Linked DNA regions of Lepisosteus oculatus. The main gene of each other region encodes a partner of the protein of the gene in region 2 in a complex. Links are inferred from orthologs where the notes say so. Each region holds a gene or a part of one and is shown on either strand. Other genes may lie near its edges.

Region 1 (3,751 bases), on a different chromosome or scaffold from region 2:
TGTACTTTACTTTTTATTTATACTAGATTACAGACCAAAGGAGACATTTCTGATTCTCTCCATTTCTCCTGGGTAAGTAAGCAATTCCCACCCCAATGTTGTTTCATTCTCTAAGTCAATATCAATGTACTGCGATATACAGCTGCTCCACCCTCCCCGAGTGTGTCAGAGTGTCAGTGCGCCTCACCGAGGTCCACGGGGTAGATCTGGATGTTGACGTCCAGGATGAGGTCCATCTTGAAGGACTCGCTCTCACAGTGCAATCGAGACACTGAGAAGAAGACAACAGCACTTGTGAAAACTGCCTCTTTCAGAAACAAACACAGTCACGCCAGCCCTGTTTTTAATTTATTGAATCTGCTGATGTTTTTAACCAAGGAGACCTCAAAGGTCTGCTGCTCCACAAATACAGAAGCAAGTTTAGCGTCATCTGCCTTTCAGACTCTCCATATGGGACACCGTACCTCACCCCAATCAGTCTTTCTCACCTCTGTCAAATTTCTTCCCATCTGGGTCAATGTCCTTCACATCGAATATGTCCTCAAACAGGATTCCCGACATGTCCCACCTGGTGACACAGTGGTGATTTAGAAAAGTACAAATTGGAGAGCACAGCACAGTGATATTATCCTCTCCACCCCGTGTGGCACAGTGACATTCTATAAACTATACAAGGCAGTGGGCATAACTACATGCTTTACAACAAAGATACACTCTTTTTACAAACCATAAAGATCTGCTACTTATGAGTGTGCAAAACCTGTACAAATCCAAGCTACAGTATACCAAAAACTGAAACAAATCCAAGATTACTTAGAGAGTGAGGTCAAAAGTTACAGAATCAATCTTTTTTGTACATTTTAAGACATTATGAAACAGGCCCACCGCAGAGTTTTAAAATGACACCAAAATCCTGTTTCTGTGCCAATAACAGAGGTAGCCTTGACTATGTAAAGTGAACAGCACATCACTCATACCTAATACTTCCATTGTAACCATTTCACCCAACACGAATACATGCAAAATACAACTGAAATCAAAGGTGAACTAAATTGTCTTTCTTGATTGGTTTCATGTGGAATGACCCGTGTAATGTATTAACAAAATACAGAAACAACTAGGCCTACAAGTACAGTTATATTACAAAGTAGGGTTAATGACTTTTGGATGTCAGAGAAGCATAACACACTGACTGTCTACAGCAATTCAATCTAGAAAGTACTATCCCTAACAATTTTGCAGATTCAGTGTGTTCCATTGGAAATGTCCCTGCTATACACATGCAAAATGCATCCATCCCAACAGCTATTTCCTGTAACGCTCAGTGAACAGAACAGGGGGAAACAACTGGAACCCGGATAAAAGTCAAATGGGCACAGGGGTTCATGTGATGCCTGGCTTAGAAAGAACTGTACTAGAAAACATTCTTTACACACCTTCCTCAAGTTTGGAATGGGCTACAAGGATGCTGAATTCTGAAGACAGGACCACTGGGAGATTATCAGTGCTGAATGTTCACAACTGACTAGTGGTTCCACAGTCATTGGTGAGCATTAAACTACTTAATTTTTAAACAATTTCTGTAATCCTAACAGGCTAACCTAGGCCTTTGAAACAAAAGCACTTAATTCAGAGCTGGTCACTGCGCAGCCCTTCAATTCCTCCTCACTGTACAATTTGTCTACAACACACTGCTTAAGTACTGAATTGACGATATAACAATTATGGAGATGGTGTCAAAGGATGTAATTGGAGTGAATTGCAAAGGTCGCAGCTTGTGCAGCCCTATCTTAGTGTATAAGAAAAATGACCACCAGCTGACCTGCTATTTTCGTTATCTTTTCTTCCTGTTCTTACACAAATACATAAATGAATACCGTTTCACTTCTGTCAGTATTTCAGCCTGTTAACAAGATCGAGGAGAAGGTGGCTCATATCAGTTGCATCCTGGAACTAAGGCAAAACAAGATCAAACTACAGATTCTAGATACAGAGTCCGTCCTCCGAGCAAACCGCTATCGGAGAAGCGAATCGGATATTACGTACAGACTTTTAACGCGCGTTAATAACATGATTGAATGAACATGAACAACTATTGAGTTATAGAGACTACTCAATTACTACTTCACTCGATTCAATGAAAACAGTTGCACTTACTCTGTCTCCCTCGGTGCTACGAGCCACAATAAGCTGTTTAATTCACACCAGTTGGCAGTCTAACAAATAAATCAATCCAAGTTTTTTTTGTCTGCGAAAACTTCTAATTCATCAGTACAGAATCGCAACGCGCGGATTCACAGCATGCTCAACCTCCAACCTCTGACCCTCAGTCTGAACGTCACACTTACTACTTCCGGAATCATGGACCAACAGAACGGATGTTTCAATTTCGAGTACCGAGATTTAAAATTAATATAGATGACAAATGTGTTTTTTGTGACAATAGCCCTGAAACTATTCAGCATTTGTTTTGGTTATGTCCCAGGGTAAAAATGTTCTGGACTAAGTTGCAGAATTATATTAAAAAAGAGACCAATATTGATATTTCTTTTGTTGAAAAAGATATTATGTTAAGTTTCAGCCCCAGTGAAAACAATATAAAATTTCGTTTGTAATAAATTTAATTATTATACTGGCACGTTATCACATACATAAAATGAAATGGTCTGGGAGATACCCTGTGTTTGAGTATTTTAAAATGGAAGTAAAGGGGTATTTGCAGACTATTTCGAAATGCAAAAATATGAAAGCGGTGCTGGCATTAATTGTATTTAATTTGTTTAATCTTTTTTCATAACTTGAATTTTATGTAGTAGTATGTACCCCTGACGATATTCTTGTTTTGAATTGACATATGTACTCTTGTTTGTATTGTAATTTTTGTTCTTTTGTTAAGCATAAATAAATAAAAATTCGAGCACCGTGTCCATGGAGACGGTGATGCGTATATGTACGGCAGGCGAGAAGTGAAGCAAATGTGATTGAAGACGATACTGTACGATACTCTGATTATTTGCACATTATGTCCGGACAATTAAAGCAATTAAAAAAACTAACAAAATATGTGTAATGTTAATGACACGTGATTTATTTTAACGCAAGATTGTAAAAAATCTGGAAGTAATTTAATTTAGACTACTTTGATAATTATTACTCCTTTATTTTGTTCTTAGTTTTAAACCAAAATCTTGTTATTGTAGCTGTAAAGATTTCCAAGTTCCATGAAGTGCCTAAGCATTGTTTGATATTCTGGATTGATGTGAATGTTTGTGAATGCAATCTGAGATGATTGCTTTTGAAAAAGCAATATTTATTTGTTGTCATTACATAATGTGAGCACATTTGTGAGCATCAAAGGTTCAATTTATTTCACCACGTAAAATGTTTGTGCGGTTAATTTTAATAGCCTGGGAAAAAAGCAGCAGACAAAATAAATTGCTGTTATTATTAATAATTTATTTTGACTACTGCATTAGTAATATTAAAAAACACTGTTTAATTAATAATTGCTTACACTTATATAGCGCTTTTCTGGACACTCCACTCAAAGCGCTTTACAGGTAATGGGGGACTCCCCTCCACCACGACCAATGTGCAGCATCCACCTGGATAAATAAGTGTAACAAATACGCCTCTGCGCATTACAGGGATGTTGGCCACCCGGGCTATGAAGGTCTTCTTTAACTCAGCCGGCAATATTCCTGTTGAGAAACGCCGGAGAGCCGGTTTCGCGCCCATCCTGTAGAAGGAC
Region 2 (3,751 bases):
ATCTATTAGCTAAAGGAATCAATATTTCAGCTGAAAAAATGACAAGGCTGTGAACCACTAATCAATCTTGATATTTTTAACAGTCTCCAATTGGAAAGACTGCATGTACAGTAAACTGCTTTTGTTAGTTATAGCACATTAGGAGCTGCTAACCAATGCTTCCTTCCTCAGTTAAGGGCATGTTGCAGTTATCTCTTCTTTCCAGCTACTCCATGCTCTTGACTCAAGAGTCCAGATGTAAATAACAAAACATACCCATGTGGTTAATGTAGAGTTCACTGGGATCAGAGGAATCTTTGCTAGCTCTTGGATTTCTGGTGCACTTGATCTTTAGTTGCAGTTGAATTGTGTCAATATCTGTGCCTTCTTCATCCCCTGTGCAAACATATGAAAACAGTTTCCACATCATTTCTCTCAGGATAAAATGCAGCTTGTACTGAGAGACGGCTGTAACTTCCACTACAGAGGCCAACGATGATTCTGCTCACCTGCATTCCGGTACTCAAAAAGACGAGGGTCTGCTTTGATGGGGATCAGTCCCAGTCGATGTGCCAGAATCTCATCCTGGACAATGGATGTGTTGTTGTACACAAACACTTTCTCTATAGCCATCGTGGGAACCTTAGCAAAGACAGCATTACAGAATTAAGTAATAGGTTTATTCCATGCTGAAAAAAAGAAGAAAGAGAACACAACGTTTCGGCCGTGGAGCCTTCTTCAGGTGTCAGTCTTAATTACAGAATTAAGCCTGGGCTATTCCAAGCAATGGGTCAGGTTTTTTCAGATAACTGAAAATAAGCACTCTGCAACAACACCCACAGCCTGAAACAGGTTTTCACGAAACTATCTTGAGCCACCATGAAGTGTGCATTTAAATTTGCAGCTACGGTCACCTTAAGGTTTTATTTTAATATTACTTTTTATTTTCCTGTAAGTACATCATACAAGCTAAGGAATATTCAACAGTCATTGGTCCACACAATTCAAAAAGAAAATAGACTTAAGTAGAATTTACCAGCTAAAAAGATATACGTAGAATAGGAAAAATTATAATAGTACACATTTTATTTTATTTTTTTTTAATTGAGAGCCTGTTATTTTCGGGCGATATTTACCTCTGCTAGTAAGATTCGACGGAATGCATTAGCGATAGCAGCGTCAATGCCCACCATGTCGAACTCCAGCGTATTTTCATCCATTCGAATCACGTCGATTCTAAACTTCTGTAAAATAAAAATACTCGCGTTGCTTGAAACACATGATAAACAAAAGCGCAGGGAACCTCTTCCATGAGCAACAGCTACTGACAGCAAAGATTACAGCCGAGTTTTATCTTTACCTCTTCAAATTTTTTCCGGTTCCAGGTGTCATCGTACCCGGGATAATTACCAGGGAAGTCTGTCGTATGAACCTTTGAAGAAAAGACATTTAATTACCCCTTATCCCAAAACAAGTTATGTATTTTACAACACGCTTTACATTGTAAGAGAGAAATTGTAAACGAGTCTGCCTCATAAACAGTGTGCGTATCTGGAAAAGCGGTTACTTAACTGTCGTCGGCATAGAATTGTACACATGACACAACAAACTTTCTTACGACAATAATAATACGTTTTTATTTGTACTATCTCATAGCCTATGAGGAACCAGCATCTCTCCACCACCTAGAAACAAGCACTCACATTTCGGACCCCAAACTCGCCCAGAATCACACGATCGCGAATCTCTTCCACGTTGCTCCTGGGCGCCGCCATTTCTGCACACTGTTGATTTTCCTGTTCTTCAACGTCATTTCCGCTCATCGAGCTGTGCTTTGCAATAAAAAATATAACTGTCAAGTTGAGAACTCCTGACAATGCAGTTCCGTTATTTAATGATAAACTTTACTTTTATTTAACTGACACTAAATTCTTAAAAAAAGAATCAGTATTGCAATTATATATTATATTATTGTAACTCACAGTACCCTAGTATGTTTTATTTCCTTCATGGTCGAGCTCATGCCAGGAACCCTGCAACTCACACCTGGCAACGAACCCACTGAAACTAAGCAGGAGGTCTTAGCTGTGAGCCTGGTCAGTACCTGGATGGGAGAGCTCCCGGGAAAAACTAAGGCTGCTGCTGGAAGATGTTGTTAGTGGACGCGTGCGTTCCACGGCGGTCATGCACTATCGCCTGCAATAATTAAGATAATTAAGGCATATAAAAGGCGGCTGTTTAATCTGTCTAGCTATTTTTTGTTAATAGTAGCTAATCGAACTCTACTGGAGCTCGTCTAGATGTTTCTTTAAAGAAGGGAGGATAAGGGCTTCGACAGCGTGGCTGGGTAGCTGGTGTCCACACTCCCACAACTCTTTGTGTAAGAACATGCCTATTGCTCTTGATTTGGAGCTAAAAACTGTAGATAGCGCGCCTGACACTTTTCGTTCTGATGCATAGCTCAGCGCTGTTCATTTATATGAAATAAAGCGGAAAAAAGAAGCAGATTTTGCCTATATTTCAGGGGAAACTGCCGGACCTCTTGCAAGCACCAATACAAAAAAAAAAAAAGATAGTTCAAGTAGGTCGCAAAGGAACAATCCCATGCTGTAAAGAGAAGAAAAGAAACACAACGTTTCGGCTGTGGAGCCTTCTTCCGGCGTCAAGGAGAAGAAGGCCCCACATCCGAAACGTTGCGTTTCTTTTCTTCTCTTTCCAGCCCGGGAATAAACCTTCACTTGTTCCTGTGCAAACACACACACACGAAACAAGAGCTGAAGTCACGTTCGCGTCTCGCGAGAGGTCCCGCGAGCTCCACGTCTCCAGGCCTGGGTGTGCTTCCTGGTGGCCGAGAGCGAGCAGCGGCGCCGAGCTGGGGGTCTCGCCGAGCGACTTTTCTCCTGCCTTTGTGCGAGCATATTCAGTCTTAGCATATAAGGGCTCCGTCCCCGCAAGAGTGACAGTCCTGCGTGTCCGAAGATGTCCGCGCCGGGAGGAAATAAGAGCACCAACAGCGAGGCTTGGGGCAGCTTCGATGACAACCTGATTCAGGTAAACAAGAGCGACTCTCTCTCTCTCCTGACACTTCGGAGATAATACCGTCCCTTCTAGTTAAAACACCGCTCCTTCTTTCTACTAGCGCAGCCAGCGTTAGTTAAGACAAAAAAAACAATCGTCTGTACCAGCGATGAACAAAAAGCGTCGCCGAATATCGTAACAAAACGATTAAAAATAAATTCCAGTCACCACTACCCTTTCATCAGCTTTTGTTGTTGTTGTTGTTGTTGTTGTTGTTGTTGTTGTTTTTTGCTGACGTTTTCTACATTCCTGTAAGTCTTCCTATCCTTTTGTTTTCACAAGGTGGAGACGTTTTCACCAGTGTCTTGAGATTGTTGTGTGTTTAGAATTTGCTGCCTTGTGGATAATAGGTGTTGTTTCGGTTGTTTTGAAACGGACTCAGTTTTTGTATTCGCTTTAATCGATGCCTTTTGTGAACAGTTTCATGAATGGCTTGATATTTGGAGAACAGTCCAGTTTTAGGTGAAAGTGCTGGTAGCTCAATAAAATGCCAAATGTCCTGCAATTTTCAGCTCCAGCACGTCTGCTGTAGCTCCTGGGTAGCTCCGCCCAGTAATGTGGTAAGATATTGAGAAACACAACACAAATTGGATTGCTGTAGGAGTACACATGTACAGACTCAGTGGCCACAGCCTGGACATAGAAAGTGGATACAGGCAGACCTGGCTGTCCAGAGAGGACAGGCTCAGAGGCC
Region 3 (3,751 bases), about 1.5 Mb from region 2:
GAAATATTTTGAGTCCACTGGGACAACGTAAGACCTCAATCTTGAAAATCACCTTTAAGGCAAATCCCAGAGGAATGAAGAAGAGCTCCTTCTGGTAGATGAAGTTCACCATCACCGTTCCATTGTCCAGATAGTGTAGATTCATGTTAATAGCTGTGTGTTCCTCCTTTACACAGCGTATTGAAACACCTGAAGGGAGAAAACATGTCAAAATGTTAAATTCAAGTTACAAAAAACATCCATCCATTTTCCAACTGCTTTTTCCAATTCATGGTCGCAGTAGAGCCTATCCCAGCAAGCAATAGGCACAAGGTAGGATACACCCTGGACAGGATGCCACTCCTTCATAGGGCAAAAACAGACAAAAATGTACACTCACACCAGGGCCAATTTTCTTGATAGCACCACACAGGTAGCATCCCAGGTCCAGAGTTAAACCCCAGCGCTACGAAGCGCCAATGCTGAACACTGCACCACTATCCCACACTACAGAAAACATGTGACATCCTATTCTGCCTCTGTCTGCAACACTGACAGCTCCCTAAAATTTCACCCTGTATCACTGTGCCACGGAACAATTGTTCCTATCAGCAATGAAGGATTAAAACATTTTAAAAAGACTATCTATGCTATTGTGGTGAAGTCCACGAACACACTGCAGTGGCCAAAATGACATTTATTTCCTTTACCCCTTTTCTTCAGTCTTCTGTGTCTGCTGTCCTTGCATATTGTGCTAATTGCTAGTCTCTTGTGCCATTTACACAAAATAAATAAAATGTTTGAAATAAAAGGTTTTCACGGTCTAATTGGGAAATTCAGACATGTGAATCTTACCGTACTGTGTGTAACCTTGGCCCCTGCTCTTCCATTTAGGCCTCACCATTGCAATAGGGAAGTTCCTCCTGGGCATGATCAGCAGTCGAATTACCTTCTCAATTCCATTGATGATAAAATACCCTCCCATTTCCTGTCACACACAGAAGGCGATGTTAGAAACTGAACCGAAGGAACGGATCATGCAGCAAAAGATGTTCACATGTCCATAAAGCAATTCACAACCTCTGCTTCCTCATGATGTGCAATGAGCTCTTTTGGAGACAGACCGTGCAAATTGCAGAGCTTGGACTTCACCATGATTGGCACCCAACCGAGAGACTGCTTGATAATCCCTTTGGGAATGCCATTCACTGACCAGCTGACACCTGCCTTGAAACACAAAGCAAAAGAAAAAAGTAAATATCATCAAAATTGACTGATTATCGCTACTATAAATTCAATACTGAACATTTTAGCAATTATGTATGTTTGCTCTCACATAACACACCATGGTTAAGATAACTATTATTATTATCTATTATAAAACCATATATTTTGAACCAGCTGCATACAAGTTCAATCAATTAACTAAATGCAATGAGGAGTGAAATTAGCCGTTACAGTTGTCTAACTTGTAGTTAAGTTGTCGAAAAATGCAATTTTCACCGTAGTTATGTTAAGTTTACAAAGGACAGTAAAACACCTTTATGAGATACGAATTGCTTTTCCTTATGTGCGTGATTTTTAAGAGCAAGTCAAGGTGACACTTACTACTAATTTCCCTCTGTAGGTGGTGCGCCTACCCCTACATTCTGCAGGGAAAACTCTCAGGTCACGACAGATCGTTCCCTTAGTGACCACCGGGTTGCTGATTGTGACCTCCTCAAATGCCAGGGTAATACGATCATTCTTAAACATGAACTCCAGTGGCGGGATGGCCTAAAAAAGAAAAAGGAAATCAGAAACACATAATAAAAACACCACCTGGATGCACAAGGCTGTTTTTTTTTTTGGTGAAGTCTGACGAAACGTGCTTTGTTAAACACAAAGCAAAGCTTAATGAAAGCTAAGGTTGCTGATGGAAGAGATGATAGCGGGACCAGTAGGGGGCGCTCACCCTGCAGTCTGTGTGGGCCTAATGCCCCTGAACAGTGATGGGGACACTCTACTGTGTCACTATACGGTGACGTCCTTTGGATTAAATGTAAAACCGAAGTCCTGACTCTCTGTGGTCATTAAAAATCCCAGGGCATTTCTTGAAAAGAGTAGGGATTTTGGACAGTATCCTGGCCAAATTCCCCCCCTGACTTTACCTGTCATAGCTTGCTAATCATCCCCATCTCTGAACTGGCTTCATCACTCTGCTCTCCTCCCCACTGATAGCTGATGTGTGGTGAGAGTACTGGCGCACTTTGGCTGCCGTCGCATTATCCAGATGTGGGCTACACATCGCTGGTGGTGATGGGGAGTCCCCATTACCTGCAAATCGCTGTGAGTGGAGTGTCCAGAAAAGCAGTAATATTATAATTAATAATAAACAACCTATTATTTTACTGTTTTGCACAAATGAGGAATATTAAAATACTATCAACCCTGCCCAGTCATTGCTGTTCAGCTCTTGAAATAATTCACTACTTACTTTAAGCACCTGAAAAGTAAGTCAGAAACGTATTGTTTTAGGACTATGACGCTACTGGCTCGCATCTGCCCACACCTTTACCAGTTTGTTAAATTGTATAGTGGTATTTTTAACAAAATAACTGCATTCTTGCACAAGCCCGCCCCACGTGGGATACTCAGCTCTGTAAACACGTGAACCTGGAGTACGGGAAACTAACAGACACCAACCTGCACAACACGACAAAGCCCGTCGGTGACCGCTTGATCAAACGAATCAATGTGCGCTCGGCAAAGCTCTTGCACAGCTGGATGCTGCTCATTTTTAGGAATTCCGAAACCCGGTTCAGTCAAGTTCTTCAGACTCGGACCGGAGCACGGACCACCCCGTCCTAACGTGGACTCCATATTTAATGGCAGCGGAAGCAGCCGGAAGCACCACAGAGTTTCCTTGACTCAGATTCGATCGGTTTGCTCTTGCTGTTGCTGTTGGTCCTCCAAAGGGCTGTTTGCTCGGGGAGCTATAGCATAGCTCGTATCTCCTTAGGTCCCTTAGACACCCGCGGTTCTCTAGTATGAGAATGTGTGCTTCGGGATTTAGACTTTATCTGAGAATAAAACTGCAATGGGTTCATATGGACCTTGCTGTATGAACGTACTGTATGAAACTGAATACCTTTAGAGAGGTCCAACGAGCGACAAGCGCCGGAGCATCATGTTTAAAGGTTGGGAGCGCAACTAGGCGTTGTTTGTCATGTTTGAAGTCATGGTGGGCAGCTGCGTCAGCAAGCGTAGGCTGCAAAGGAACAAGTAATAGGTTTATTCCACGCTGAAAAGAGAAGAAAGAAAATGCACACGTCACATCTGAAGAAGGCTCCACTGCCGAAACGTTGTGTTTTCTTCTTCTTTTTTAAGCATGGAATAAACTATTACTTGTTCCTTTGTATGTTTGAAGTCATGTGATTATGAACGTGATATGAGCTTTGCTAACACGTGTATAATGTAGTATGTGACTGTAATCCTACCAGAGGTTTGTTTGTTTAAGTCCCCCTGCAGAGATGTTGTCAGTGAGCTGAAGAGAAAAATCCATCTACAATATATACAAGGCATATCATTTTATTTATACCTGTAACTTTATTGTAACTGTGCAAGAAGCTGGCCACATTGCATATCATTGCATAATAACTCCCAGTTCTCTTTTTATATTCCATCAAACCTGAGACAGGCACTGATACTGCAGTAAGCATGGTTAGGACACAGTACTGGAACAACGGTGGAGGGCAAAAACGTGTGCTCTCAACACATATGAAATATAAAA

What was found.
Region 1: polr1c (region 2) and polr2h share a complex: the UniProt entries of both Homo sapiens proteins name them as parts of the pol I pre-initiation complex. The link is inferred for Lepisosteus oculatus from reciprocal best matches to the Homo sapiens genes POLR1C and POLR2H.
Region 3: the proteins of polr1c (region 2) and polr1b are in contact, whole or in part, in a cryo-EM structure (PDB 7OBA), measured with the Homo sapiens proteins. The link is inferred for Lepisosteus oculatus from reciprocal best matches to the Homo sapiens genes POLR1C and POLR1B. Residues at the interface, in NP_976035.1 of Homo sapiens: Ala70, Asn74, Arg77, Arg78, Leu81, Ala82, Gln102, Asp103, Glu104, Ile105, His108, Leu112, Lys220, Asp221, His222, Ala223, Thr230, Ser232, Tyr233, Arg234, Leu235, Asp281, Thr282, Phe283, Ser284, Glu286, Arg289, Arg301; in NP_061887.2 of Homo sapiens: Arg713, Gln715, Lys761, Ala762, Glu765, Arg766, Gly767, His770, Tyr774, Gly816, Val848, Arg872, Pro874, Glu900, Asp901, Phe904, Glu906, Gly908, Lys967, Gly970, Tyr971, Asn972, Phe973, Tyr974, Arg978, Tyr980, Ser981, Gly982, Ile983, Ser984.

What each region holds. Positions count from the first base shown.
Region 1 is NC_090708.1:19,016,618-19,020,368, forward strand, and holds the start of polr2h (DNA-directed RNA polymerases I, II, and III subunit RPABC3), read right to left. Parts: upstream 2,341-3,751; 5' UTR 2,158-2,340; intron 569-2,157; 5' UTR 562-568; coding exon 489-561; intron 272-488; coding exon 188-271; intron 1-187. UniProt on the Homo sapiens protein: DNA-dependent RNA polymerase catalyzes the transcription of DNA into RNA using the four ribonucleoside triphosphates as substrates.
Region 2 is NC_090712.1:17,543,542-17,547,292, forward strand, and holds the start of polr1c (DNA-directed RNA polymerases I and III subunit RPAC1), read right to left. Parts: upstream 2,619-3,751; 5' UTR 2,084-2,618; intron 1,812-2,083; 5' UTR 1,803-1,811; coding exon 1,683-1,802; intron 1,412-1,682; coding exon 1,340-1,411; intron 1,224-1,339; coding exon 1,116-1,223; intron 622-1,115; coding exon 489-621; intron 376-488; coding exon 256-375; intron 1-255. Other genes in the region: protein YIPF3, read left to right, coding at 2,959-3,030. UniProt on the Homo sapiens protein: DNA-dependent RNA polymerase catalyzes the transcription of DNA into RNA using the four ribonucleoside triphosphates as substrates.
Region 3 is NC_090712.1:16,003,995-16,007,745, reverse strand, and holds the start of polr1b (DNA-directed RNA polymerase I subunit RPA2), read right to left. Parts: upstream 2,868-3,751; 5' UTR 2,842-2,867; coding exon 2,665-2,841; intron 1,756-2,664; coding exon 1,588-1,755; intron 1,207-1,587; coding exon 1,060-1,206; intron 968-1,059; coding exon 835-967; intron 190-834; coding exon 53-189; intron 1-52. UniProt on the Homo sapiens protein: Catalytic core component of RNA polymerase I (Pol I), a DNA-dependent RNA polymerase which synthesizes ribosomal RNA precursors using the four ribonucleoside triphosphates as substrates.